7 linked regions of the Rattus norvegicus genome follow. The protein of the gene in region 1 purifies or fractionates together with the protein of each later gene. This does not show direct contact. Links are inferred from orthologs where the notes say so. Each region holds a gene or a part of one and is shown in the gene's direction. Other genes may lie near its edges.

The links.
Region 2: the proteins of Sec13 (region 1) and Nup85 purify together in Homo sapiens (affinity purification with mass spectrometry; 5 studies listed by BioGRID and IntAct, counting the BioPlex papers as one, with this or other methods). This does not show direct contact. The link is inferred for Rattus norvegicus from reciprocal best matches to the Homo sapiens genes SEC13 and NUP85.
Region 3: the proteins of Sec13 (region 1) and Sec23a fractionate together in Homo sapiens (co-fractionation; 3 studies listed by BioGRID and IntAct, with this or other methods). This does not show direct contact. The link is inferred for Rattus norvegicus from reciprocal best matches to the Homo sapiens genes SEC13 and SEC23A.
Region 4: the proteins of Sec13 (region 1) and Nup37 purify together in Homo sapiens (affinity purification with mass spectrometry; 5 studies listed by BioGRID and IntAct, counting the BioPlex papers as one, with this or other methods). This does not show direct contact. The link is inferred for Rattus norvegicus from reciprocal best matches to the Homo sapiens genes SEC13 and NUP37.
Region 5: the proteins of Sec13 (region 1) and Sec16a purify together in Homo sapiens (co-immunoprecipitation; 4 studies listed by BioGRID and IntAct, counting the BioPlex papers as one, with this or other methods). This does not show direct contact. The link is inferred for Rattus norvegicus from reciprocal best matches to the Homo sapiens genes SEC13 and SEC16A.
Region 6: the proteins of Sec13 (region 1) and Klhl12 purify together in Homo sapiens (affinity purification with mass spectrometry; 3 studies listed by BioGRID and IntAct, with this or other methods). This does not show direct contact. The link is inferred for Rattus norvegicus from reciprocal best matches to the Homo sapiens genes SEC13 and KLHL12.
Region 7: the proteins of Sec13 (region 1) and Nup133 purify together in Homo sapiens (affinity purification with mass spectrometry; 4 studies listed by BioGRID and IntAct, counting the BioPlex papers as one, with this or other methods). This does not show direct contact. The link is inferred for Rattus norvegicus from reciprocal best matches to the Homo sapiens genes SEC13 and NUP133.

The regions. Positions count from the first base shown.
Region 1 is NC_086022.1:148,432,844-148,436,735, reverse strand, and holds the end of Sec13 (protein SEC13 homolog), read left to right. Parts: intron 1-420; coding exon 421-554; intron 555-883; coding exon 884-1,007; intron 1,008-1,619; coding exon 1,620-1,766; intron 1,767-3,005; coding exon 3,006-3,119; 3' UTR 3,120-3,392; downstream 3,393-3,892. UniProt on the Homo sapiens protein: Functions as a component of the nuclear pore complex (NPC) and the COPII coat. At the endoplasmic reticulum, SEC13 is involved in the biogenesis of COPII-coated vesicles.
Region 2 is NC_086028.1:101,304,227-101,308,234, forward strand, and holds the start of Nup85 (nuclear pore complex protein Nup85), read left to right. Parts: upstream 1-1,208; 5' UTR 1,209-1,231; coding exon 1,232-1,264; intron 1,265-1,851; coding exon 1,852-1,945; intron 1,946-3,583; coding exon 3,584-3,746; intron 3,747-4,008. UniProt on the Homo sapiens protein: Essential component of the nuclear pore complex (NPC) that seems to be required for NPC assembly and maintenance. As part of the NPC Nup107-160 subcomplex plays a role in RNA export and in tethering NUP96/Nup98 and NUP153 to the nucleus.
Region 3 is NC_086024.1:82,409,905-82,413,404, reverse strand, and holds part of Sec23a (protein transport protein Sec23A), read left to right. Parts: intron 1-86; coding exon 87-193; intron 194-1,319; coding exon 1,320-1,473; intron 1,474-3,500.
Region 4 is NC_086025.1:24,485,232-24,487,583, forward strand, and holds part of Nup37 (nucleoporin Nup37), read left to right. Parts: intron 1-734; coding exon 735-916; intron 917-1,232; coding exon 1,233-1,283; intron 1,284-2,352. UniProt on the Homo sapiens protein: Component of the Nup107-160 subcomplex of the nuclear pore complex (NPC). The Nup107-160 subcomplex is required for the assembly of a functional NPC.
Region 5 is NC_086021.1:29,655,820-29,659,319, reverse strand, and holds part of Sec16a (protein transport protein Sec16A), read left to right. Parts: intron 1-409; 5' UTR 410-477; coding exon 478-3,500. UniProt on the Homo sapiens protein: Acts as a molecular scaffold that plays a key role in the organization of the endoplasmic reticulum exit sites (ERES), also known as transitional endoplasmic reticulum (tER).
Region 6 is NC_086031.1:48,453,971-48,458,064, forward strand, and holds the start of Klhl12 (kelch-like protein 12), read left to right. Parts: upstream 1-1,294; 5' UTR 1,295-1,295; coding exon of another isoform or gene 1,296-1,301; coding exon 1,302-1,496; coding exon of another isoform or gene 1,497-1,517; intron 1,518-3,546; exon of another isoform or gene 3,547-3,604; intron 3,605-4,094. UniProt on the Homo sapiens protein: Substrate-specific adapter of a BCR (BTB-CUL3-RBX1) E3 ubiquitin ligase complex that acts as a negative regulator of Wnt signaling pathway and ER-Golgi transport.
Region 7 is NC_086037.1:68,788,565-68,791,128, reverse strand, and holds the end of Nup133 (nuclear pore complex protein Nup133), read left to right. Parts: intron 1-1,836; coding exon 1,837-1,973; 3' UTR 1,974-2,064; downstream 2,065-2,564. UniProt on the Homo sapiens protein: Involved in poly(A)+ RNA transport. Involved in nephrogenesis.

The DNA.
Region 1 (3,892 bases):
CTTAAGATTTTTTACTGAGTAGTCTGTTGGTCTAATAATTTGCCTTTAAGGCTAACCCCTACTGTGTATGTGTTGTGTGTACTTGTTAGTAGTATGGGTGTGCATAGGTGTATATATATGCCCAAGGTTGGCAATGTCTTTCCCTTGTTGCTCTTCACATTTTGAGATGGGATCTCTTACTGAATCTGGAGTACATGGATTTGGCTAGGTTGGTTGGCCAGTGGCCTTAAGGAATCTAACTGTCCCATGTCCCCTTATCCTGCCTTCCATGCTAGTATTACATCAGTGCCTGATTCTTACTCATCACATTATCTGTGTGCTGTAATCAAAGTCCTGACAACTGGAGGGAAATCACCAGGAATGAATGGGGAAAAAAAATTTATTGCTATGCATAGCCTCACCAAAGGTTCCCCTCTGCAGATTGGCTGTAATGCTGTCAGTTGGGCCCCAGCTGTTGTGCCTGGAAGCCTTATAGACCAACCATCCGGACAGAAACCCAATTACATCAAGAAGTTTGCATCAGGTGGCTGTGACAATCTCATCAAGTTGTGGAGGTCAGTGAGTTTTGTGGACATTTCTTCAAAGGGACACTTCTTTTCTGCCTGTCATCGCTCAGCTACAGTGTACAAGAAGCAAGATCACCTTTCTTTCTCCCTATCAATAACCATCTGTTTTCAAGTCTGTTAGGACTTCTTTTTCTAAGCATTTTAGTATTCCCCAAACTTTGGAGCTATGGATGAAAGGGCATTTACTGGAGACCTTACGTGCAGCTTAGAATTCTACCCATTGGACTCATTGATGAAACTCGAAAACTGAACCCTTTACCCAAGTTGGGAATATCTGCCTGCTAGCCACTGTATTCCTGCTCTGGTTTCCTCTGCAGGGAAGAGGAGGATGGCCAGTGGAAGGAGGAGCAAAAGCTAGAGGCACACAGTGACTGGGTTCGAGACGTTGCCTGGGCCCCCTCCATTGGCTTGCCCACCAGCACCATTGCCAGCTGCTCTCAGGTCAGCCCCACACCATGAGAACATCCCGTTTCAGCCTTGAGTGAGTTCCTTTCAGTCTGCCTAGAGTGAAAGATACGTAGCAGGCATCTTTTAGACCTGGGCAAAGAACAGAAGGACCGTGTAGGACCAGTGTACATGAGTCTGATGTAGCTTAAGAACTAGTGCCAAGCTTAGAGCCAAGTTTTGGTTCTTCCTGACCCTTACGAAGGAGAGGAATGGAGGTGCCCAGACTTAGTGCCTTGGGTCAACCCTTCCCTTATTTCCTGTCATCACAGGAATGACAAATAAGAGGCAAGGTCTTCAGGTCCATTAGTGATTTTATTGGACATTCTTGTTTGCTCCATCTCTGAGTATGGTTTGTAAGATGGTTAACCGTGTTCATGTGAGAAACACTAGACAGCCAGGAAGAAAAACAGAGTATCTATAGCAGTACCCTGGATTCATCTCTGAAACCACAGAATCCAGACCCGGCCTATTTGTAAGATGTGTTCAGGGTGAAAGGATCTGAAACAGACTCTTTAGTGTGGCTGCTCTCCTTCTCTGCCAATACAGATACCTGCCCCCTGGGGAGAATGCTTGTACCCCCATCTCCTGATGTGTTTCTTTCCCTAGGATGGGCGAGTGTTTATTTGGACTTGTGATGACGCCTCAGGCAATATGTGGTCACCTAAACTCCTACACAAGTTCAATGATGTCGTGTGGCACGTGAGCTGGTCCATCACAGCAAATATCCTGGCTGTGTCAGGTGGAGACAATAAGGTATACCCCATTTCCAGGGGGGCAAGCATATAAGGCCCTAATGGTTTTTCACCTCCTGGCCATGTACAGTAACTGGTTCCATCATAGAGGTAGATCTGAATCATATCTCAGTCTCTTCAACCCTCTGAGGTACTGTGTCCTGTTTGACACAGAAAAGAACTTGGTTGCATAGCTGCAGTATAGCCTGACCTGCAAGGAGAGCCTGGGGCTCTTTCCTAAGCATCAGGAGAGTTCCAGGAACTTTTACCACCTTCTATGTCTCCACCTCCTGCTTCTGCTATGAGCCAAGTGGCCACTGGAAAGACCAACAAAGGGCAGAAAAAGGAGACTAAGGAACACCTCCATATTTTCTCATACTGGTAAATTAGACTTTAAGTATTATGTGTTGACACCGTGCAACTGATCTTCAGAACTCTTAAGCTTGTAAAACAAACTCGGTGCCTATTAACTAGCTTCCTTCACTTACCCACTCTTACTTTCTGGCTGGCTTATCTCATTTACCATTATGGCTTCCCTTTTTTAAGCTAACATGTAAGCAACATTGTCCATTGCTAAGAGATGAGTACAAACATTTCTTCTCACCCTCTGCAGGTAGCCTTTCCTGCTCTGCAGTAATTCCAGGACAGACTTGCAGGCCCGACCTCAAAAGATAGTTATCCTCCTTTATTTCTTTGTACCAGAGTCAGGACCTGATAATTTAAGTTTGCATTCTTGAACAGCCTGCCTTCTCAGGCCATTTCTCACCCTATGTATGAAGTAAGGATCCGACTTCTGTTAACAGGTACAGGTGAGCTGCACAAGGCATATGTCCTTCTGAGGAGCCACAGGCAGGGACAGACCTTTTTAGCTGTTTGCTCTGCAATGGTCCTGCATCTAATAGTTGTGTCCTATCTAATTTGTGCTTTTAACACTTGGTGACAAAGATGGCCTAACCTGGCCTGCTCTCAGCCACATACTTCCTCTCTCACTGTCAACTCTAGTTAATGCATTCCCTGTGGGTGCATTTTGAGCAAGTGTAGTGGAGGTAAATGCTTTTTCCCTTGGCCTCTGTGTTTGTACTGAGGATGAGGCTAAAGAGCAGCAGAACAGGCACAGACCCGTAACTTTTTTTTTTTTTTTTTGGTTCTTTTTTTTCGGAGCTGGGGACCAAACCCAGGGCCTTGCGCTTCCTAGGTAAGCGCTCTACCACTGAGCTAAATCCCCAGCCCCGACCCGTAACTTTTGTGTGCTAACTTGCAGGTGACCCTGTGGAAAGAGTCGGTGGATGGACAGTGGGTGTGCATCAGTGATGTCAACAAGGGCCAGGGTTCTGTGTCAGCCTCCATCACAGAGGGCCAACAGAATGAGCAATGACAACACAGGCAGCCTGGTCTTCCTGTTACCTATTCTGGAACAACCTCCAAACAACTGGGAAGAGTCATCCCACTGCTACCAAGGAGTGCCCACACATGCAGCACTGGGTGTTCACCTGCCTTACTGGGATTCCATGTGTTCAGTAATTTAATGTCCATCTGAAAGTATTCATGTAAGGAACAAATGACTATTATTTTTAAGTATTTTTGGCCATTTTTAACTATCTTTTGGTTCAGGCTGTTTCCAAGGTAATAAAATCATATTGCATAGAAACTTTACTGTCATCCCACAATCTGCCCAAATTGTGCTACAGGCACCACCCAGTATGATAACAGCAGCTCCTCCTGCAAATGGGCAATAGCCCCCTTCTGGGTATACCTACTCCATGGGATTTGGATTGATGACTTCTGCCCTAAACAATGAGATGCTAACAAATGTATACAGGTGACCAACCAGATGCCAGGCAAGGAATTTAACCCAGCCCTGGGCATTCTAACAATACTATGATGGGAAGCCAAAGTTCTGATGCTAACTGACCTTGAGCCATGTACCACCTCCCAGCAGAGGTCTTTGGAACTCTCACCTGAACTAGCAGTCACAAAAACAGCACCACCTACTGAAGCCTGCTGTTTTAGTAGAACTTCATGCTGTATTTCAGGTAAGCAATCTGGCAGAAGAGATAGAGGATTTAGCCACTTAGTAAAGAGAAAGCCAGGATTAGAGTTCTAGCCCACTTCACCCTAAACTTTAGTCTTACCTGCTGCAGAACCAGA
Region 2 (4,008 bases), on another chromosome or scaffold:
ATGTGGTTGCTGGCAATTGAACTCAGGACCTCTGGAAGAGCAGTCAGTGTTCCTAACCACTGAGCCATCTCTCTACCTCTTTACTTTTTTTTTTAATTAATTGTTTATTTAGCTCTGATCATATGTGGTAGATTTTGTTTAACTGTACAGTAAATTCAGTCTTTTAAAAATTATTGTATGTATACTGGCTGCATGCATATCTGCATGTCTGTGAACTACATGTGCGCCTCACATCCACAGAGGCCAGAAGAGGGCATCAGAATGCCTGGGATTTTTCCATGTGTATGTGAGTGCTTTGAATTGATCCAGTTACCCGGGAAGAACAGCATATGTGCTTAACCACTGAGCCATCAGTCCAGCTCCCCAAATCATTGATTTCAGTGATTAGGACTTGGATAAAAATTTGACAGAAAGATTTTTCTTTATTTCCTTAATGCCTGGTGGGAGTTTGTTTTCTGAGGCTGGGTTTCACTTAGCCTCACATCAAGTGAGCTCAACCTTGCTACATAGCTAAAGCTGGTTCTGAACTCCGAATTTCTGTCTCTACTTCCCAAGTGCTGCAACTGCCGGTTTAAGCCACCGTGCCCTTCTTTCAAGTCATGTATGCCCAACAATTTAAGGTAGAGGAGGTTTAGAATAATCCTAAGGAAAGAAAAGTGGCCAGTACATAAAAGGTTGAAGTCCTGTTGTTTTGGGGTGTCAATGCCCGCGACCAATTCCAAAGTAAGCGCGTTATACTTGTCGGAGTAAGAGAAAGGGACTGAGAATACTTAATAACAGACCCTGAGGGAGGGATCCCAACTACCGCTAAGAGCTAAAATAGGATTACTGAGGCGGAGTAGCTCTGCAATCCCAAGAGATGCGACAGCAAGGATCTGCGCACGCGCACACCCTCCCAGCCACCTCCTCTCCCGCCATCTCCCGGGGCCTTCCTCTTGCCTAGTGTGGGACTGTCCATGGCGCCGCCTGATCTAGTGGGAACATTCCGTGAGGACCGGTGGCCCCTGGCGACGTTTTCCTGAGGTGTTGTCTAGGTTAGAATAGTAGGAGACGTGTGTAAAGCTGCAGAGGCCTGTGTTTGGCTGAGGCGAAGGGATTTGTTGCGTTGAGATGTGCAGGCGCTTCGGAAGCCGCCCTGATGGGGTCCTCTTTGGCAGCTGGCTGTGAGCGGGAGGCCTGAGCTGAGAACAGCAGCAACGCGGAGGGGTCCCTGCTGCGGGCGCACCGCACTATGGAGGAGCTCGACTGCGAGCCCGCAGTAACTGTAAGGACGCCCGGAGAGGCTTGCTTGTCTCACTGTGAGGGTTACGTTTCTTTGGTCACTTCAGGCTTGCCTCCGTACATGTGGGACGCATGCTTTTTCTCTGGACACAGTTGCCACCATCCAGAATGTCAGATCAACTGGGAACTAGGTTAGGGCGGTGGTGGTCCCTAGGCTTCGGGTCCTGTGAATACTGGCCGGGCCGCGGAGGCCCCACTGCATCATCCCTTGTTTCTCTAACCTTTCTGCTTCTCTAGTTTCTCTCCTTGGGCGTTAGAATGAGCTTGGTGTAAGCTCCACATCGTCGCTCCAAGAGCTCAGTTGGCTTCTTCCTCTGGCTCAAAGCTTAATAAGTGCGTAATTTATTCTCACGAGAGACTATAGACCACTTGTTTCTGTCGCTTTGTATTCTATTCCGCTTACATAGAAATATTTTAAGGTGTGTGTATATGTCTGGATATGTGCACAGAACCGTTGGATACCATCTAGGCTGCCTGCCTGAACTATGGTGTCCGCAATCACACTTGGAAGTTGAATGAAAAGAAAGCCCTAACTAGGGCTAACAGTTCCTATGCCTTCTGTTTTACTAGTGGATTCCAGGTGTGAATTCCAAGAAGAAGCAAATGTGTTTTGACTGGGGCCCAGGGGAGATGCTCCTATGTGAAACTTCCTTCAACAAAACAGGTAGGTAGTTCTTGTTCACTTTTGTCTTGGTACATTTGTTGACTATCAGGGGCAGGAAACTGAAGTCATTTGGCAACATTTTTTTATGTTTGAAACTGTTTTTTGTTATTTTGAGACAAGTTACCCCTATATAGTCCTAGTGGGCTTGTCTTTGTGCAACATATGTGGGATTCGGAAACTACGTCTTCCAACCTCGATGTCCAGAGGGCTGGGATTTGAGGTGTGTCACACAACACAAAGTTTTTTTTGTTTTTTTTTTGTTTTTTTTTTTTTAATTCTGTCGTCTGTGCATGGGAGTTTTGTTTGCATGCCTATTGATGCACCACTTCGTGCTTGGTGCCTGCAGAGGCCAAAAGAGATCCCTGGACTCTAGGAACTAGAACTGTATATTTATGTGAGTTGCCATATGCGAGCTTGGAAGAGCTTGGCTGGAAGAGCTGCCTGTGTACGTCTTGTTTGGTCGTCTTTGGTTTCTTGAGATGGTCTGGCTGTCCTGGAACTGGCTCTAGACCACACTGGTTTTGAGCTCAGAAATTATTTGCCCTTTCTTCCTGAGTGTTAGGAATAAAAATATGAAATTTCAGCCAGTGGTCTTAGTCACCAAACCATCTCTTCAGCACCCTTCCTATAATGGACCTTTAGACACGAGCCATATAGCTCAGCTGTGGTGACGCACACTCGCACACCTTTCATCCCAGTACTCCGCAGACAGAAGCAGGTGGATCTGTGAGTTCAAGGCCTGCCTGATCGACAGAATGAATTCTAGATCAGCCAGGGTTACTCAGAGAAACCTTGTCTTGAAAAACCAAAACCAACCAACCAAACAAACAACAAAAAGAAATGAGTCGGACTGTGTTGCCTGCCCCAGCTGAAGGCAAACTCTTGGGTTCAGGCAATGCTTGCAGTCGTAGAATTTTTACTGTGCAGAATAGTTGACGGAGGATAGAGTGTTCCCGGCTGCCTGAGATACGATGCCGAACCCATTCTCAAAAAACCAAGGACGTAGGCTGTCGCTCAGTGATGGCATGGGCAGCATGGGCATGCCCAGGAGGCTTAGGGAGAAGGATTGCTTAGACTAGGACCCCATCTCAGCTCTCCACTTGAAAAACTCTCCTCTTCCTCTTCCTCCTCCTTCTTATTCCTCTTCTTCCTCCTCCCCTTCCTCCTCCTTCTTATTCCTCTTCCTCCTCTTCCTCTTCCTCTTCTTATTTATTTATTTATTTATTTATTTATTTATTTATTATATATAAGTACAGTGTAGCTGTCTTCAGACACACCAGAAGAGGGCATCAGATCCCATTACAGATGGTTGTGAGCCACCATGTGGTTGCTGGGAATTGAACTCAGGATCTCTGGAAGAGCTGTCAGTGCTCTTAACCACTGACTCATCTCTCCAGCACCCCTCTTCTTCTCTTTTATCATAGACCTGGCTTGCTTGGTCTATTGCATGCACTAGTCTTCTCTTTCATTTTAATCCTCCTGTCTCATTCTTCCTCTTGCTGAGTGTGTAGACATGTGCCCCCCATGCTCAGCCAGTTTTTGTGACTAAAAAATTAGAAATACTGCAGTGTTTTCTCTTTGGGGGAAAATGATAGATGTTAAATTAGTTTTTGTTTCCTTTTTCCTGTTTTGTTGCAGACAAATCAGAGAAGGTCCCGAGCTGCCCCTTTATTTATATCATAAGGAAAGATGTCGATGTTTACTCTCAAATTTTGAGAAAACTCTTCAACGAATCCCATGGAATCTTCGTTGGCCTGCAAAGACTTGAGGAAGAACTGTCCGGGAAATCCAGGAAAGCTCAGTGAGTGGTGGGTGCTGGAGCTCTAATGGAGTCGTGGTGAGAGGCACCCTTATCCTCCTGAGTGGCGGAGCGCCTTGGAGAGGATTCCTGGTCTCCAGGGTGCCTTCCCAGGATGTAGTTGTAGGTTGGGGAAATGCTGTTAGAAGACTCGGTGGCTTGGTATATCAACTCTTCGCTGTGGAGTCCTACTTCATTTGTGTGTGTTCCTTGAACACCACCACCCACCAAAGTAAAAAGAATATAAATAACACGACCAAAGAAG
Region 3 (3,500 bases), on another chromosome or scaffold:
AGTGGTAGAGTATGTTACTTTTGATACAGTGACATCACCATAGTAGAGTTTGCTTAGTTCTTACTTCTTTCTTTCTATACATGCAGCATAATGCTCCAATTCCCCAAGGAGGGCGAGGTGCAGTCCAGTTCGTGACCCAGTATCAGCACTCAAGTGGGCAGAGACGCATCCGAGTGACCACGATTGCTAGGAAGTAAGCCTTTTCTTTTATTATTATCAGAGATGTAATTTATATATTAAAACTATTTTGGTTATACTCACAAGCTGGGTTTACATTTATGACTAGAAAATAAACATTTGTGATCAAGGGCGTTTTATGTCTTTTAAACCTAGCTTGTTTTGTAAAATAGTCAGTGAGAAATCCTGTCTTCAAAAAACAATATTTTACCAGACTAAGATATCTTTTTTTTAAAAAAAGATTTATTTATTTATTATTTATATATTTATTATATATGAGTACACTGTAGCTGTCGTAAGACACACGAAAAGAGGGCATTGGATCCCATTACAGATGGTTGTGAGCCACCATGTGGTTGCTGGGAATTGAACTCAGGACCTCTGGAAGAGCAATCAGTGCTCTTAACCACTGAGCCATCTCTCTAGCCCCCAGACGAAGATATTTTACTCTTACTATCTGGAAGCATTTTAAAATTGTTGAGTGAAAGAAAATTAAAAATAGAGTAAGGGGCTTAGTCATTGTTTTATTGCTGTGAAGAGACACCATGACCATTTAATTGGGGCTTACTACAGTTCAGAGGTGTAGTCCACTGTCAGCATGGCAGGGAACATGGCAGCACACAGGCAGACATGGTGCTGGGGAAGTGACTGAGAGTTCTAGATCCAGATCCACAGGCAACAGGAAGTGAAAGCCACTGGTTTGACTTACAGCAGCCACCCCTATTGATACACTTCTTCCAACCAAGCCACACAGGAGAGTGTGGGTGGGAGAGCACTCTCAAACAGGCAAAGGGGAGGGAGAGGGCAGACGTGGGATGGGGGTTTGGTGGAGGGTTAACTGGGAAGTGGGTTATCATTTGAGTTGTAAATGAATGGAATGATTAATAAAAAATGACTTATCTTAAATAATATGTACTTTTAGAGTTATTTTAGAAAATGTTTTAAGGTTTGGTTTTGTTTTTAGGAAAATCATTGTAATAAACAACTATTTGTGGTATTTTGGTAATGCTAATTAATGCGTGTGGTATTAGAATCTTGAAGTACTGAGGTGACGTTCTATAGTCTCTAAGTGTAGCTGTGTGTGGAAGCTAACTGTGGTATTATGATATAATTCAATTTTGTTTCTGTGCTTCCTTATTTAGCTGGGCAGATGCTCAAACTCAGATCCAGAACATTGCTGCATCTTTTGACCAGGAAGCAGCTGCCATTCTCATGGCTAGGTTGGCAATATACAGAGCGGAGACAGAGGAAGGGCCAGACGTGCTTAGGTGGTTGGATAGACAGCTCATTCGACTGGTAAGAGCTGACATTGTGCTTTCCTCAGCTTGTCTGTTACAGAACTCACAGTGGGTGGGGAGAGCTGTAGAAGACCTCATTCCGAGTACTGGACTAGCAATGAATAGCAGCCTCCACTCACTTCCGATGTATTAGAAAGCCCTTCCTTAAAATGAATGGTAAATATGCAATTTACTATGTTGGCTTGGATGAAGTTAGTGTGGAAATTAAGTCTATATTGTTGATTCCATGAGTTTTTTTGTTTTGAGACAGGGTCTTTGTATGTAGCCTTGGCTCATCTGGAACTTGCTATTACTGCTTGGCATGTGTTTAGTCTTTACTCAGGCTTTTATTTTCTGTTTTAATTTCAGTGGAATATAACAGCATAGCCTAGGCTGGTCTTAAATTTACTCCCATGTCTTGGGACTCAAGGCTTAAGCAGCTCTTAACACTTCATTTTTTCTTTGTAAACTCCGTCCTGTATGTTTTCATTTACTCTTCAACTTAAATACCTTGTTGAGAATTCTCTGTTAAGCTACTAAACTCTAGAGAGGTGCCTTTACCCTGCCTGTCAGGTGACACGAGTGAACCTGTTTAAAGTTAGCTACTTTTGTAGTACTGTCTAGATTCTTCCCTTGTAAGAGCACTCCCTTTCCCCAACACGTCTTTGTAAAAGAATCAGAGTTGTGGTATTAAGTGAGCTTTAACTTATATAGCCCATCAGTAATGGGACACTGTCAATACAAATGCTGGCACAGCTCCTCCATGGGTTGTTTGATTCTAGATGGGGATAAATATTTATCTCACCAGAGCTACTTCAAAATAACAGGAGAATCTCTTGTAGCCAAAAAGTTTTCTTAACTATTACCACTATCAATAGAAGACTGACACAATCTCAACTTCCCACCCAGCAAAGAAGCTATTTCCAGTTTATTGCACAGACCTCTTAACGTCAGGTGGCATGTACCCAGTGCTTTGATTCAGTGCTCTGCTTGTTTAGTTTTTAAGTTTATTTACGGTTTTTTTTTTTTTTTTTAACGTGTGTGCTTTATCTGCATGTACACATACATGCCAGAAGAGGGCATCAGATCCCTTTATATATGGTTGTGAGCCACCATGTGATGTTGCTGGGAATTGAATTCTAGAAGAACAGCTAGTGTTCCTAACCACTGAGGCATCTCTCTAGCCCCAGTACTTTGTTTTAAATTTAACTTTAAAAAACCTTTTCCTTAGTAAGGGTACCAGTGGAAGGGGAAGCCCTTGGTCCTGCCAAGGCTGGACCCCCAGTGAACGGGATTCTTGGGGGGAGGGTGGTAATGGGGGGAGGATGGGGAGGGGAACACCCATATAGAAGGGGAGGGGAGGGGTTAGGGGGATGTTGGCATGGAAACTGGGAAAGGGAATAACATTTGAAATGTAAATAAGAAATACCCAATTTAATAAAGATGAAAAAAAACCCTTTCTTGTGTTGGGAATTGTACTCAAGGCTCTATCCAGCCAGCACGCTGACTCCTTCGCTCTCCTACTGTGCTCTAAAATAGAAGTGCTTCTATTTCCTGGGTTGCATTTTGCCATAGCATTTTACTGACTGCAGTTTTACATGTTAGTGTTTTCTAGGATGTCAGCAACCATGTGAGCTTTCCATGTGATTAACAAGTTGTGCTCTGAAATAGCTTGCTTCTTGAGCATTTTCATAGAAAATACTTTGTCTTTATAACTGTTCTATTGTTTTGAGGGTCTAAAAGCTGAAGTGTCCAGTGTGTGCACTTGGGCAGTAGCTTTACCTGTAGTACAGTGCTCTTCACATCTTGCTGGAGCGCTTGCATACATAGGTTGTCATGTATGATGCTACAATTTTATAGTGCATGCTGGACCATCAACTGGCATAGAGCCCACTGAACACCTTCTATGGAAAAAAGATTTTTTGTTCTTTGCCCCATGTATTGTGAGAATGAAGACCATTCCCAGCAATCAGACTGTTGACATTCCAGAAAATGTCGACGTCACTCTGAAGGGGCGCACAGTCATTGAAGGGCCCCAGGGGAGCT
Region 4 (2,352 bases), on another chromosome or scaffold:
AAGCAAACTCCAAACCATTCAATACCTTAAATACTAGAAGTGAGATTTCTGACGCCACTCCCCCCTTCTTCCACCTCGTCACTGCTACCTCACACTTCTAGATGTCTGCACCTTTAAATCAGCAAAATTAGACGAACCTTCTCAGAAAGAAGGCACTTTACACAGTAGATAAAGATATTCTTTGGATATTAGGGATTAATGCTGTATCCAGCAGAATTGGAGAAATCTTGTCCATTATAAATCATATTGTATGACATGCTTTCATAAGTCTAAGAAACAACTTTCATACTGTAATTTTTTTAATTGGCATTTACTTTATAAATTTTTGAATTTGGTTACATATTTCACATCTTGATAACAATTTATTAAACATTTAAAATTATGGGAAACTTTTTTTTAATTATTGGAATCTTATAAAAAGGAAATAGAGAGGAACTAATAATAGCTACTCTCTCCTAATTTAAGAGTTCAGTATTTACTAGGTGCTTGTCCAAGTCTATAGGTACCTCTGACACTCACTGCTTCATTTCCTATGCGTCTGCCTCTGTGTGTGATATGTGTGTGTGTGTGTATATATATATATATGTATGTATATACACATACATGTGTGTGATATGTGTGTGTATATATACATGTGTGTGATATATGTCTTTATGACATGTAATCTCTGCTTCTTTCTCAAACTTGGCTAACGAGACACATGCGGGCTTTTCTTCTTCCGTCCTGTATTACAGCTAATGGTCGCAGAGAAGAACGGAACAATCCGGTTTTATGATCTAATGGCCCAGCAGGCAATTTTATCTCTTCAGTCAGAACAGACACCATTAATGTCAGCACACTGGTGCTTGAAAAACACCTTCAAAGTTGGTGCTGTTGCAGGAAATGATTGGATTATCTGGGATATCACTCGGTCCAGGTAGTTATGTAGTATGTCTGTCTGTTCTGTTACATAAATATGTTGTCAAATGACCCATTTAGCCATTCTTGTAGACTCCATGTGCAATGAAAACAAGTGTCTCCTGTAGAAAAAGAAGAGATGCTGTCCCTGGAGAGCCCAGAGCGGCTCTAAGCCGTGTCCATTGCTCGCTATTTCCAATTGAGCGCTTGCTTGGAATTTTGTTACAGCTTAAATATATTGGGCTCCAAAAAGAAAACACCTTAAAAACCTTCATTGAAGTTCATCTACTTGAATCTAACACATATTTTGTACAACGTAAACTCTTATTTTTTAGTTATCCTCAAGAGACAAGACCTGTCCACATGGATCGCGCACACTCGTTTAGGTAATGTGCGGTTTCTGCTGCGGTTGTGTGAATCCTTGATTTAGTGTATTCCACGGCCAGGATGACTTCCCTGCCCTCCTCTTTACATAGGACTGTGGGGGATTGGTTTTCCTCTTTTGTCTCTCTGTTGCTTTATAGGGGTTATTTTCTTTTCCCTACTAAGTAGTTGCTTTGTCTTTTGCTTTAGGTAAGCAGGAAATTTATTTTTCAACCACTTAGGAAATGTTTGTAATTCACAGAAACCATGTAGCCAGTCTACCAGTCTACCTCAAGGTCAGGATGGCTTGTGCTGCCTGCCTCCTCCCCTGTGGTGCTCTGTACAAGTGCGCATAGACCTATGTGTGCACACCAAGATCACTAATATGTCTTGAACATGCCAGTTACATGTTATTTTGTTATGTTTTCGTTTTTTATTTGCATTAACATATTTTGGTTTTTGTCATTTTATTCCATTGTATTATCATTAGGCAGCCTTAAATGACAGGAAAAGCAAAAAAAGCTAAGAACAGTGAGACATTTGTAATTTGCTGGTTTTTTTGTTTTATTTTTAAATCATGTCTGAAATATCGCTAGTAAAAATTACCAGGACTTCGTTATTATTAAGAATGAAATATAATCAGTATAGTATTAAAATCCCATAGATTGGGACTACAGAGATGGCTCAGTGGTTAAAGGCCCTGGTTGTTCTTCTAGATGACCCAGGTTCAATTTCCACCACTTGCATGGCAGCTCATGCCTGTCTGTAACTCCAGTTTCAGGGCTTCTAACCCCCTCACACAGACACACATGCAGGCCAAACACCAGTGAATATGAAATAAATTATATATTTATATATTTCCATAGATTATTATGAAATAATCCAAAGTTCAGAGATATGATCAAATATTTTTGAAACCAGTGACTTATGTATGGTTTGTGAGAACTGCAGAGGAGGCCTTCTCATCTCAGCATGTGTTAGCAGCTCTTCTCCTTAAAGCCTCGGCTGAGTGGGGAGACCTGACTTCAAAGCTCCTACCCTGCCCCGCCCTGGGGAGTGCAGACCGGTAGACCCTGGGAGCTCACTGACCTG
Region 5 (3,500 bases), on another chromosome or scaffold:
AGTGGTCAGAGGCAACTTTGTTTCACTGTTCTCAGAGGACTACCTTAAACGTTTCACTTGGTTTAGTAACTTTATAACTGTGTTTTAGGAGGTGTAAACTCTTCTAGACTTTAAATTAACATTACAAAACGCATGATTATGTATGTTTCTTACTTTTGGAATTGGCTCTGGATGTGGTAGTGGTGGCTTAAGGAGGTGTCAAGGACTAGGGAGCATCGGGTAGTCTGTCAGACTGGCAATGGGGTTGTTGCTTGTCCCTGACAATGTGGGGTGGGATGTGGAGAGCTGAAGTCTTTGTATTTAAATGATTTGAAATCACATTTAGTCTTTTTATTTTCAGAGTTTTATTGATTGTAGTCAGGAGTGTGAGACTATAGGCCTTATGTTCCTCTTCTGTTTTCTTTTTTAGCACAAATTACAGAAAAGACCTACCCTGCCTCCTTTATAAGCAGCATCTCCTGCAGGAAAGACTCCACCATGCAGCCACCACCTCAGGCAGTCCCGTCTGGTGTGGCTGGCCCACCCCCAGCTGGGAATCCTCGAAGCTCGTTCTGGGCCAACAGCCCTTACAGGAAGCCAGCCAATAATAATGCACCAGTGGCTCCCATAACACGCCCACTGCAGCCAGTAACGGATCCGTTTGCTTTTAACAGACAGACTCTTCAAAACACACCAGTGGGCAGTTCATCCAAAAGCAGCCCACCTAATTTGCCTGGCCCAGCCCTCCCTGTTTTTTCTCAGTGGCCTGGTTTGCCTGTGCCTCCCACAAATGCTGGGGATAGCTCCACAGGACTTCATGAGCCTCTGCCAGGAACTCTGTCACAGCCTAGAGCAGACCCCAGTCTATTTCCTCCTGCATCTACCCCTTCTTCATTGCCTGGGCTGGAGGTGAACAGGAGTGCTGAGGTTGATTCCAGCTCAGGACCTGAAGTCCAGATGCTGCCACATCCACCTCACTACATTCCAGGAGTGGGTCCTGAGCAGCCTCACGGAGGCCATCTGAATGACAGTGGGGCTGGGCCTGACCAATCCATGAATAGGCACGCCCCACATGATGGTGCTGTGGCCCATGCAGCATCTCCTTTCTTCCCTCAGCCCCAGATGCCAGGTCAGTGGGGGCCTGTGCATGGAGGCCCTCCGCCCTCCTATCATCATCACTCACCCTGCCTGGAGGGCCCTGTTCAGGACATGGGGCCCCAGGCTGCCAGCTTGCCCCATTTCCCCTCTCCATCTAGTCTACACGAGGGACCTGGCCATGAGTCCCGTGTCCCACAAACGTTTACTCCAGCATCCTTGGCCAGTGGTGAAGGAAATGAGATAGTCCACCAGCAAAGTAAAAATTACCCATCGAGTAGCTTCCCCCCTAAACACAGTTTTGAGCAGAATTCCAGAGTTGGGAATATGTGGGCAAGCGCGGAGTTCAGGCAGAATCCAGGAGTTAATAAAGAGCATCTGCTAGACCCTGCCCATGTGAATCCCTTCACTCAGGGAAACAGCCCTGAGAACCAGGTGCACCATCCCCCAGTGGCCGCAACTAACCATGCCCTGCAAGAAGCAGCCTCCGGAGCGCTCTCAATGTTTTTTCAAGGGGAGGAGACAGAGAACGAGGAAAATCTCTCATCTGAAAAAGCAGGCCTTGATGACAGATTAGACTCGGGTAGCTTCTCTTCTACCTCCAGACTGGGCCATCCACCACTCCCTGGAGCTGGTGGTGTCTACCAGGCCGCTCAGGAAGGAGATGTGCAACCTTATTTTTCTCAGTTTGTGGGCATCCGTCATGACAAACAGACCACTATGACTCCTGCTAATGATGCGTGGGGTGATATTCCGGGTGCTGGGACCCACTGTGCTAGTGGGCCACAGTGTGAGAATGTAGAGAACCTAGAATTTGTTCAGAATCAAGAAGTTTTGCCACGTGAGACCGTGAATGTGGATCCCTTTTCCCCGAGTGATCAGTTTCGATATGGGCCCCTTCCTGGGCCAGCTGCCTCCAGGCCTGTTACTTCGGGCCTCACTAGAGGAGGAGGGCTAAATCTTGAGGCCCCTGACATGCCACTGCACCCTACACGACCTGACAGTGTGTCATCCAGCTACAGCAACCATAGTCACAGAAGTCCTCCTGGGTCAGCCAGACCCCAAGAATTGGTGGGCACATTCATTCAGCAAGAAGTTGGAAAACTCGAAGATGATACGTCAGGGAGTTTTTTTAAGCAAATTGATTCTTCTCCGGTTGGAGGTGAAACAGATGAGATGACCAGGAGTCAAAATTACTGCAGCAGCCTGTCCCAGCCTTCAACTCCAAGCCCTCCAAAACCTACGGGAGTCTTCCAGACAAGTGCAAATAGTTCTTTTGAGCCAGTAAAATCCCACTTGGTTGGAGTGAAACCAGTTGAAGCAGATCGTGCCAACATGGTGGTTGAAGTGAGAGGGACCCAGAACTGCCAGAAGCACGGGGCCGCTGTTCTACCACCTGATGCCACCCCAGGAAACCTGGAACAGCCACCAGACAACATGGAGACCCTGTGTGCACCTCAGGCCTGCCCTTTGCCTCTTAGCACCACTGGAGAGGCTGGGCAACTGGTTTCACACACAGCAGGGCCACCCTTGGATACTGTGCGCCCCATGCCTGACAAGAGGTCCTCAGCCAGGGCCCAGGGGCCTGTGAAATGTGAGAGCCCAGCCACAACTCTGTGGGCACAAAACGAACTGCCAGATTTTGGGGGCAATGTCCTTCTAGCCCCTGCTGCCCCTGCACTTTATGTTCCTGTAAAACCAAAACCTTCAGAGGTTGTTCATCATCCAGAAAAGGGCATGTCTGGACAGCAGTCATGGAAATCAGGGTCTGTGCCCCCTTTGCAGAACCAAGACCCTCCTGGTGCTTCTGAGAACCTTGAGAACCCTCCCAAGGTAGGAGAAGAGGAGGCCCTTCCATTGCAGGCAAGTTCTGGTTATGCGAGTTTGCTGTCCTCACCACCCACTGAATCTTTACACAATCAACCTGTCCTGATTGCCCAGCCTGATCAAAGCTATAATTTGGCTCAGCCCATTAATTTTTCTGTGTCCTTACCGAATCCTAATGAGAAGAATCAGTGCTGGGGAGATGCTGTGGTGGGGGAGAAATCCATGGTGAGCACCCGGGCTCTTGGTGCTGACCATGAAGAACATGCTGCCTTGTCTGCAATTCCAGCCAGTACTGTCACTGGCTCGTCTTTGCCTAACAGTGTCACCCAGAACTGTGCCCCTCGAGGTTCTGGGTCTTCTGAAATGATTGCTAGCCAGCCTGCCAGTTGGTTGGTTCAACAGCTGTCCCCTCAGATTCCTCAAAGTCAGCACCCCAATGCAGAGAAGGGTCCTTCTGAGTTTGTTAATAGCCCTGCTAATGGAAGTGTGATGCTAGCTCCACCTGCAAACAGTGCTGTGATACCTAACAGTAATAAGGGGTATCACTCTAGAAACCCGGAAGAAGCCATCGGTGCCCTAGACTTCACATTGAGTAGAAC
Region 6 (4,094 bases), on another chromosome or scaffold:
CTAGCAACCACAAGGCCCTGGGTTCGGTTCCCAGCTCCGGAAAAAAAAGAAAAAAAAAAATGAAAGAGCAAAAATCTGAGTGTGGTGGTCTTCTTTGGTTTAATTCGTTGTCGTTGTTGTTGTTTGACACCAGAGTGTCTTTATGGAGCCCAGGCTGGCCTGGAACATGTTATGTAGACCAAGGTGAGCTCCAGCTTGCAGCAATCTACCTCTTTCTCCTGAGTGTTTGGATTGCAGGGAACATACCACTGCACCTGGCTCTGAACTCATGTAGTTAGGTGCATGGTGTTTGCGTATACCTCATGCACACCCCATGTACCTCAAGACAAGTTCTGGATTACTTATGCCTAAAACAGTAAACTTATTGTACTATATTTGTGCTGGCTAGTTCTATGTCAGCATGACACAAGCTGTGGTCCTCTGAGAGGAGGGAGCCTTAATTAAGATGATGCCTACAGAAGATCAGGCTGCAAGCAGTCAAGCTGGTAGGGCATTTTTTGAATCAGTGATTGGCCGGGGAGGGCTTCTTTCACTTTGCCACTCCTGGGCTAGAGGCCTCTGTAAGAAAGTAGACTGAGCTGACTGATTGGTGGTGATGCAAACTTTAATCCCCACACTTGGAAGGCAGAGGAAATCAGATCTCTGAGTTCCAGGCCAGCCTGATCTACACATTGAGTTCCAGGATAGCCAGGGCTACACAAAGAAACCCTATCTAAAAAAAAAGAAAAAAAGTCAAAAAGCAAAGCAAAGGAAGTAGAAAGAAATAAAGGAAATTGAGCAAGTCATGAGGAGCACGTCAGTAAGCTGCACTGACACTGACCCTGCATCATCTCCTACCTCCTGGATATTAGTTCCCACCTCTGCACCTCTCACTGGACTGTGACTCAGGATATGTAAGCAAATAGACCCTTTCCTCCCAAGGTGCTTTTATCACAACAGTGCTAATGCTGAGGTAGTATTCTCTAGGGAAAATTATAAACGCCTGTATACATGTTCAAAATCAGTTCTTTAGTTCTTAATATTTTGTGCTTTGCTTGGTTGAATCCAAAGATATAGAACGTGGAATTTGGAGGAAGAATGAGGTAATGTTTACTGGAGTCGTTGTTGGCCAGATTGTGGTGGTGCCAGGGTCAAAAGTGCTCTCTCTATATTTGTGGAAGTTTGCGGTTAAGGAAGCCCTTTTAGTTCCTTAATTTGTAAAGCTAATTGTGTGTTTGGTTTCCCACTTCTTCATTGTGACCTTTTTTCCCTTGTAGCTGCACTGTCCAAGGGACTTCTTTGTTCTTTCTCCTTAGCGCTTGATGGGCGGCATTATGGCCCCTAAAGACATAATGACAAATACTCACGCCAAGTCCATCCTCAACTCAATGAACTCCCTCAGGAAGAGCAATACCCTCTGTGACGTGACCTTGAGAGTGGAGCAGAAAGACTTCCCTGCCCACCGGATTGTGCTGGCTGCCTGCAGCGATTATTTCTGTGCCATGTTCACTAGTGAGGTAAATGCGAGTCTTTGCTATGTAAGTCAAACTCACATTGTAACTTTGCAGTCCTCCTCTTTCAAGGGACAAAATAGCATGCGTTGGTGATCCAGCTATGACATTGGTAGCCAAGTGGTCACCAGGGTTAATCTTGGGGTTCTGTCTGGGCAGCTCTTTCTTCACTGTCCTGTGTGTGTAAGGGGCTGCTCAATCAAAGGGGATGTTTCCAACACACCATTCTTTGGTCAAAAGTATAGGAGTGTCAGAACTTCCAGACGAGTGCTCAATAAATAAAATATAAATCTGAAACCAGATATAGTGGCTCACACTTAAGGTCCTGACAGCAGGAAGATGGCCATAAATTTGAGGCCATTCTGAGCTACAGAATAACACCCATATAAAAGCATTCAACAATGAAAAAAAATAGTCTGGTAAACCAGTGAACTTATGTAATGTGTTAGTTAATAGGTAGGTTCTGAGTAAGACATGTGTTGGCTTTCTGCTTTAAATCATCAATGATTGTAGAAAATGAGTATTTATGCTACTGGTGCAGATTTCAGGATGACTTCAGATGAGGGGAAGATGGGGTTTAATGAGTGACTGTGCAGTATTGACTTAGCTTGATGTGGTAGACATGTCTGTAATGCCAGCAATTGGGGGGCAGAAACAGGATCAGGGGTTTCTCACCATGGGGCCGGCCTTGAACTCACGGTGAGACCATGTCTCCCGAAAACAAGGGCAGAGGATGCAGCTCAGCTGGTCTAATGCTTGCCCAATATACACAAAGCCACTAGGTTAAGACCATCCTTGCCTCTGTACAGAGTTTTAGGCTATTTGGGGCTATAGGAAACATTGTATCCAAAACCAAAATTACTTTTTAAAAAAAAGGGCCAGCAAGATGGTTCAGCAAGTAAAGATGCTTTCCATCAAACCTCATGGACCAGATAGGGGGAAGGAAGGAACCAACTTGGGGTGTGTGGAACCAACTTGGGGTGTGTGTGTGTGTGTGTGTGTGTGTGTGTGTGTGTGTAGACAGCAGAGCTGTCCTGGAACTCACCCTGTAGACCAGGCCAGCTTTGAACCCACAGATCCGACTGCCTCTCCCTCCCAGGTGCTGAGATTAAAGGGCTACACCACTACCTCCTGGCTTTAAAGCTTCTAAAAAGTAAAACTATTTAAACTAGTCTTTGTAAGTATTTTAGGTTTGAGGCATATGAATAAGTATTGGGTATTTAAACTTCGACATATATCTGAATTATTTCAGCATGCTGGCTTTTTGTTTGTTTGTAAGATTTAAAAAGAGTTCCGTGTATGTGCTGCATGGATTTTATGTCCATCGTATTCAAGGAGTTGCCCGTGGAGTCCATAGGGCACCAGATGCCCCAGAGCTAGAATTCCAATGGTTGTGAGTCACCTGACGTGGGTGTTACAAATGCTTGACCAGTCTCTCCAAGCCTGTGGTTTGCGTATATGTGCATCTGTTTTTTTTTTTTTTTTTTTTTTGGAGCTGGGGACCGAACCCAGGGCCTTGCGCTTCCTAGGTAAGCGCTCTACCACTGAGCTAAATCCCCAGCCCCTGTGCATCTGTTTTTGAGAAAGAATCTTAGCCTGAAATACTTCATCTCTCCGCCTCCAGTACAGAGACTATGGGTGTGAGCCATCGTGCCTGGCTTTGATAAGACTCTTTAAAAAGTATCTCTAAGCACCAGTGTTTTCTTTAGGTAGTGCCCATCACTGTGAGGCTGCAGAGGTGGCTCAGTGGTTAAGAGCACTGGCTGTTCTTCCAGAGGATCGGGGTTCCATTCCCAGCACCCACATTATGGTTCACAACTGTCTAACTTTAGTTCCAAGAGATCTGACACCCTCACACAGAGATACATGCAGACAAAACACCATTGCACATAAGGTAAAAATTTTAAAAAAAGTCCCTGTCAATGTACTGAAGAAGTAGTTGCTGGAGCCAGATAAGAGAGGGAGTGTCGTGATAATAACAGCTATATTTATGGGCCCAGTCACATTGCCATGTTGTCATTTACCCAAGGGGTAAATATGCCATTTCATTTTACAGATGAAAGGTCTCAACAAATGCCTTGCCAAGGTCACATTGCTTAGAGCACCACAGAGAGGTAGGCTCTGCCACTATAGCATATGACTGTAAAAAATAATCCTTAACTCCCATGTTCATCCATAAGGCTGGTACCACAGATCTCTAGCTTGTACTCCCCTTTATGATGTCTGCCCCAAAAACATAGCCATTTAGCTGGGTAGGGAGTGTTGACCAGTGCTGAGCATGAAGTGGACTAAGACTGCTGCTCACACAGTCCTGCTAAAGCAGCGTGTGTCCTGTCTGCTGTCAGGCTGTCTCCTGTCTTGGAGAAAGGCTGTCTACATTGTTTTTTCAACACTGGGGAATTTCTGGAATCTTGGAGGAAAAAAACTCATTTCTTCTCATACATGACTCTTCTTTCTTTCCTTCTTTCCTTCTTTCCTTTTCTAAACAGGGCTTTTCTGCGCCTGTTGTAGACCTCCCCCTGTAGACCAGGCTAGCCTTGACCTCAGAAATCCACCTGCCTCTGCCTCCGCCTCCAGAATGCTGGAATTAAAGGTGTGTGCCAC
Region 7 (2,564 bases), on another chromosome or scaffold:
ACACATGGCACAGTCACCAGCTCACACATGGCACAGTCACCAGCTCACACATGGCACAGTCACCAGCTCACACATGGCACAGTCACCAGCTCACACATGACTGCTGGGCCATCTCAGCAGTAGAGACTTCCGCCAGGCCTGAGGACGTGAGTTCATCCCCACGTGGTGGAAGGAAACAGTCAACTCCTAGAAGTCGTGCTCCGACCTTCATACACACACGAGGAGGGCAAGGGTAGGTAGGAGCTGGTTCTTCGGTTAAGAGCTCTGGTTCCATCCCAGCCCCCACAGGGTAACTTCCTGCTGTCTGTAACTCTGGTCTTGGGGAGTCTGAAGTCCTTGCCTGTTCAGTACCAGGCACACATGAGGTGTACGTTCATACTTGCAGGCAGAACAGTCATACATATAAAATACTTCTAAATGACTAAATAAATATATCTTAAAGAAAATATAATTTAGAAATTGGGGCTGGAGAGATGGCTAAACAGATAGGAGCATTTGCTGTTGTTCCTGAGAAGCTGGATTTGATTCCCAGCGCCCACATGGTGGCTCACACCCATCTGTAATGGGATCCAATGCCCTCTTCTGGTGTCTGAAGACAGTGACAGTGTACTCATATACATGAAATAAATAAATATTTTGAGAAAGATATAAAACTAAGGACTGAGTATGTCTGTGTCTAAAGCAGTGAGAAAATCATATTTGCTGGAAAAGGCCCACGTCTGTACTGCTTTGGGAAAGATGATTCTCAAAAGACCTCCCTTTCTTTTATATACTGGGGGCTTAATGCAGAATGTCAGGAAGGCACAGAAGACAGAGCAGGCCACAGAGAAGCAGATGTGATTCCTACAGAATTATTAGATCAACACCAGGGTACCAGGTCCTGGCAGTGCGCAGACCAGCTGGCCTGCGTCTGGCAGGTCTTGGTAGATACAGAGATGCTGTATTTGAAACATCCAGTGAGTGAATGGAGCCTGACTCCAGCGACCCTGCAGAATGACTGAGGATGGCAGTCAGACGATCCCCATGCTACACATGGTGCAAGGTGTGTCATTTAATCTGCATAAAACATGCCCTCCCCTGCCTGGTACACAGTTGCTCAGTAAGCTTTTTGGGTTTCGATGATATTGAATTGTTCAACTTATAACAAATACAAAAAAAGACGATGCTGGATACATCAAGAACACTTTAACGTGACAAGTGCCTCCTCTCAGGGGTACCCCATTTAAAACCAGGAAACCAGGCCTGATGTGCTGGTACTCACCTTCAACCCCAGCACTCAGGAGGTAGCAGCAGTGAATCTCAGTGAGTACAAGAGCAGCCTGGTCTACAGAGCAAGACCAGGACTGCCAGGGCTGTCACACAGAGAAACCCTGCCTCAAAAAACCAAAGCGACAACAAAGAGACCCTGATAGTAAAATGCTGGGTGGGTGGGTAGGCGTGCGTGCGTGCGTGCGTGCGTGCGTTCAGGTTCAAGGGATCCTCCTCCTTCAGCATCCTGAGTGCTGGTAAGACAGGCTCCCTGGTTGAGTCTTAACATCTTTGCAGTACTGTGGCCAGCTTTGTGATGGTGTTTCTATTAAATTAGTCCCCCAATAGGACAACATAGAAATGACTATTAGTTGAAAACTTACACATTAAAGACATATCTTAAACTGTAGAAAAAAAGGAAAATTTTGGATTCTACTGAAGATTTCCTCTGGAGAAGCTGCTCTGACCAATAGGAACCTGCAGGGCTCTGGAGAAGCTGCCATCCTCCTGAGGGCTCCGGACGAGGAGGCCACAGCGTGGGCAGCGTGGGCATCTCAGGACCAGAGTGACCATGTCTTTTGTTTGCAGGCGTCCAGCTCAGCGAGTATCTACCAGAGGTGAAGGACCTGCTGCAGGCCGAGCAGCTGGGGAGCCTCAAGTCCAACTCTTACTTCGAGTTTGTTCTAAAAGCAAATTATGAGTATTATGTCCAAGGACAGATGTGACATTTGTAGAAATAGTTTTCTAAAATTTGTATAAATGTTTGCTTATTAAAAAAATATTGAGGCCAAAAAACTTAGGTCTTTTCTTAATCAACTTGAGGTCTGTTTTATCTGCGGCAGTGGGTTTTCCATGCTTTATGTGGGTGCATGATGTAAAAGGAGGTGCAACCCTAATGTCCCTTTTCAGCTGTAAGGTATTGCCTCCTCCTCTTCCACTCGAAGTTGCCCTTGTTTCTGTGTTGCTGCCCTTCTCCAGCTTCCCTTGGTCCACCGAGGCAGCAGTCTCTCCAGCGCGGCCTCGTGTGCACATCAATTACTGTCTTGAGGGTTGTGAGACTGAGCCAGGTTTGGAGCCATATACCTGTCATCCCAGCACTGGACCCTGAGTTCACAGTCAGCCTGGACAGCATAGTAGGGTCTTGTCTTACAGCCCTGGAATAATATACACGCACATAACAGTTGTATGGACTGAGCGGGTTGTGTCTGTATTTGAGTCAACAATTAAAAGAGGCCATGAGTCTGAGAGAGCAGGCCAGCAGGAGTGATGTGAGGTGTGGGAAACATTAGAGATTACCCTCTGCATGTGGTACACTG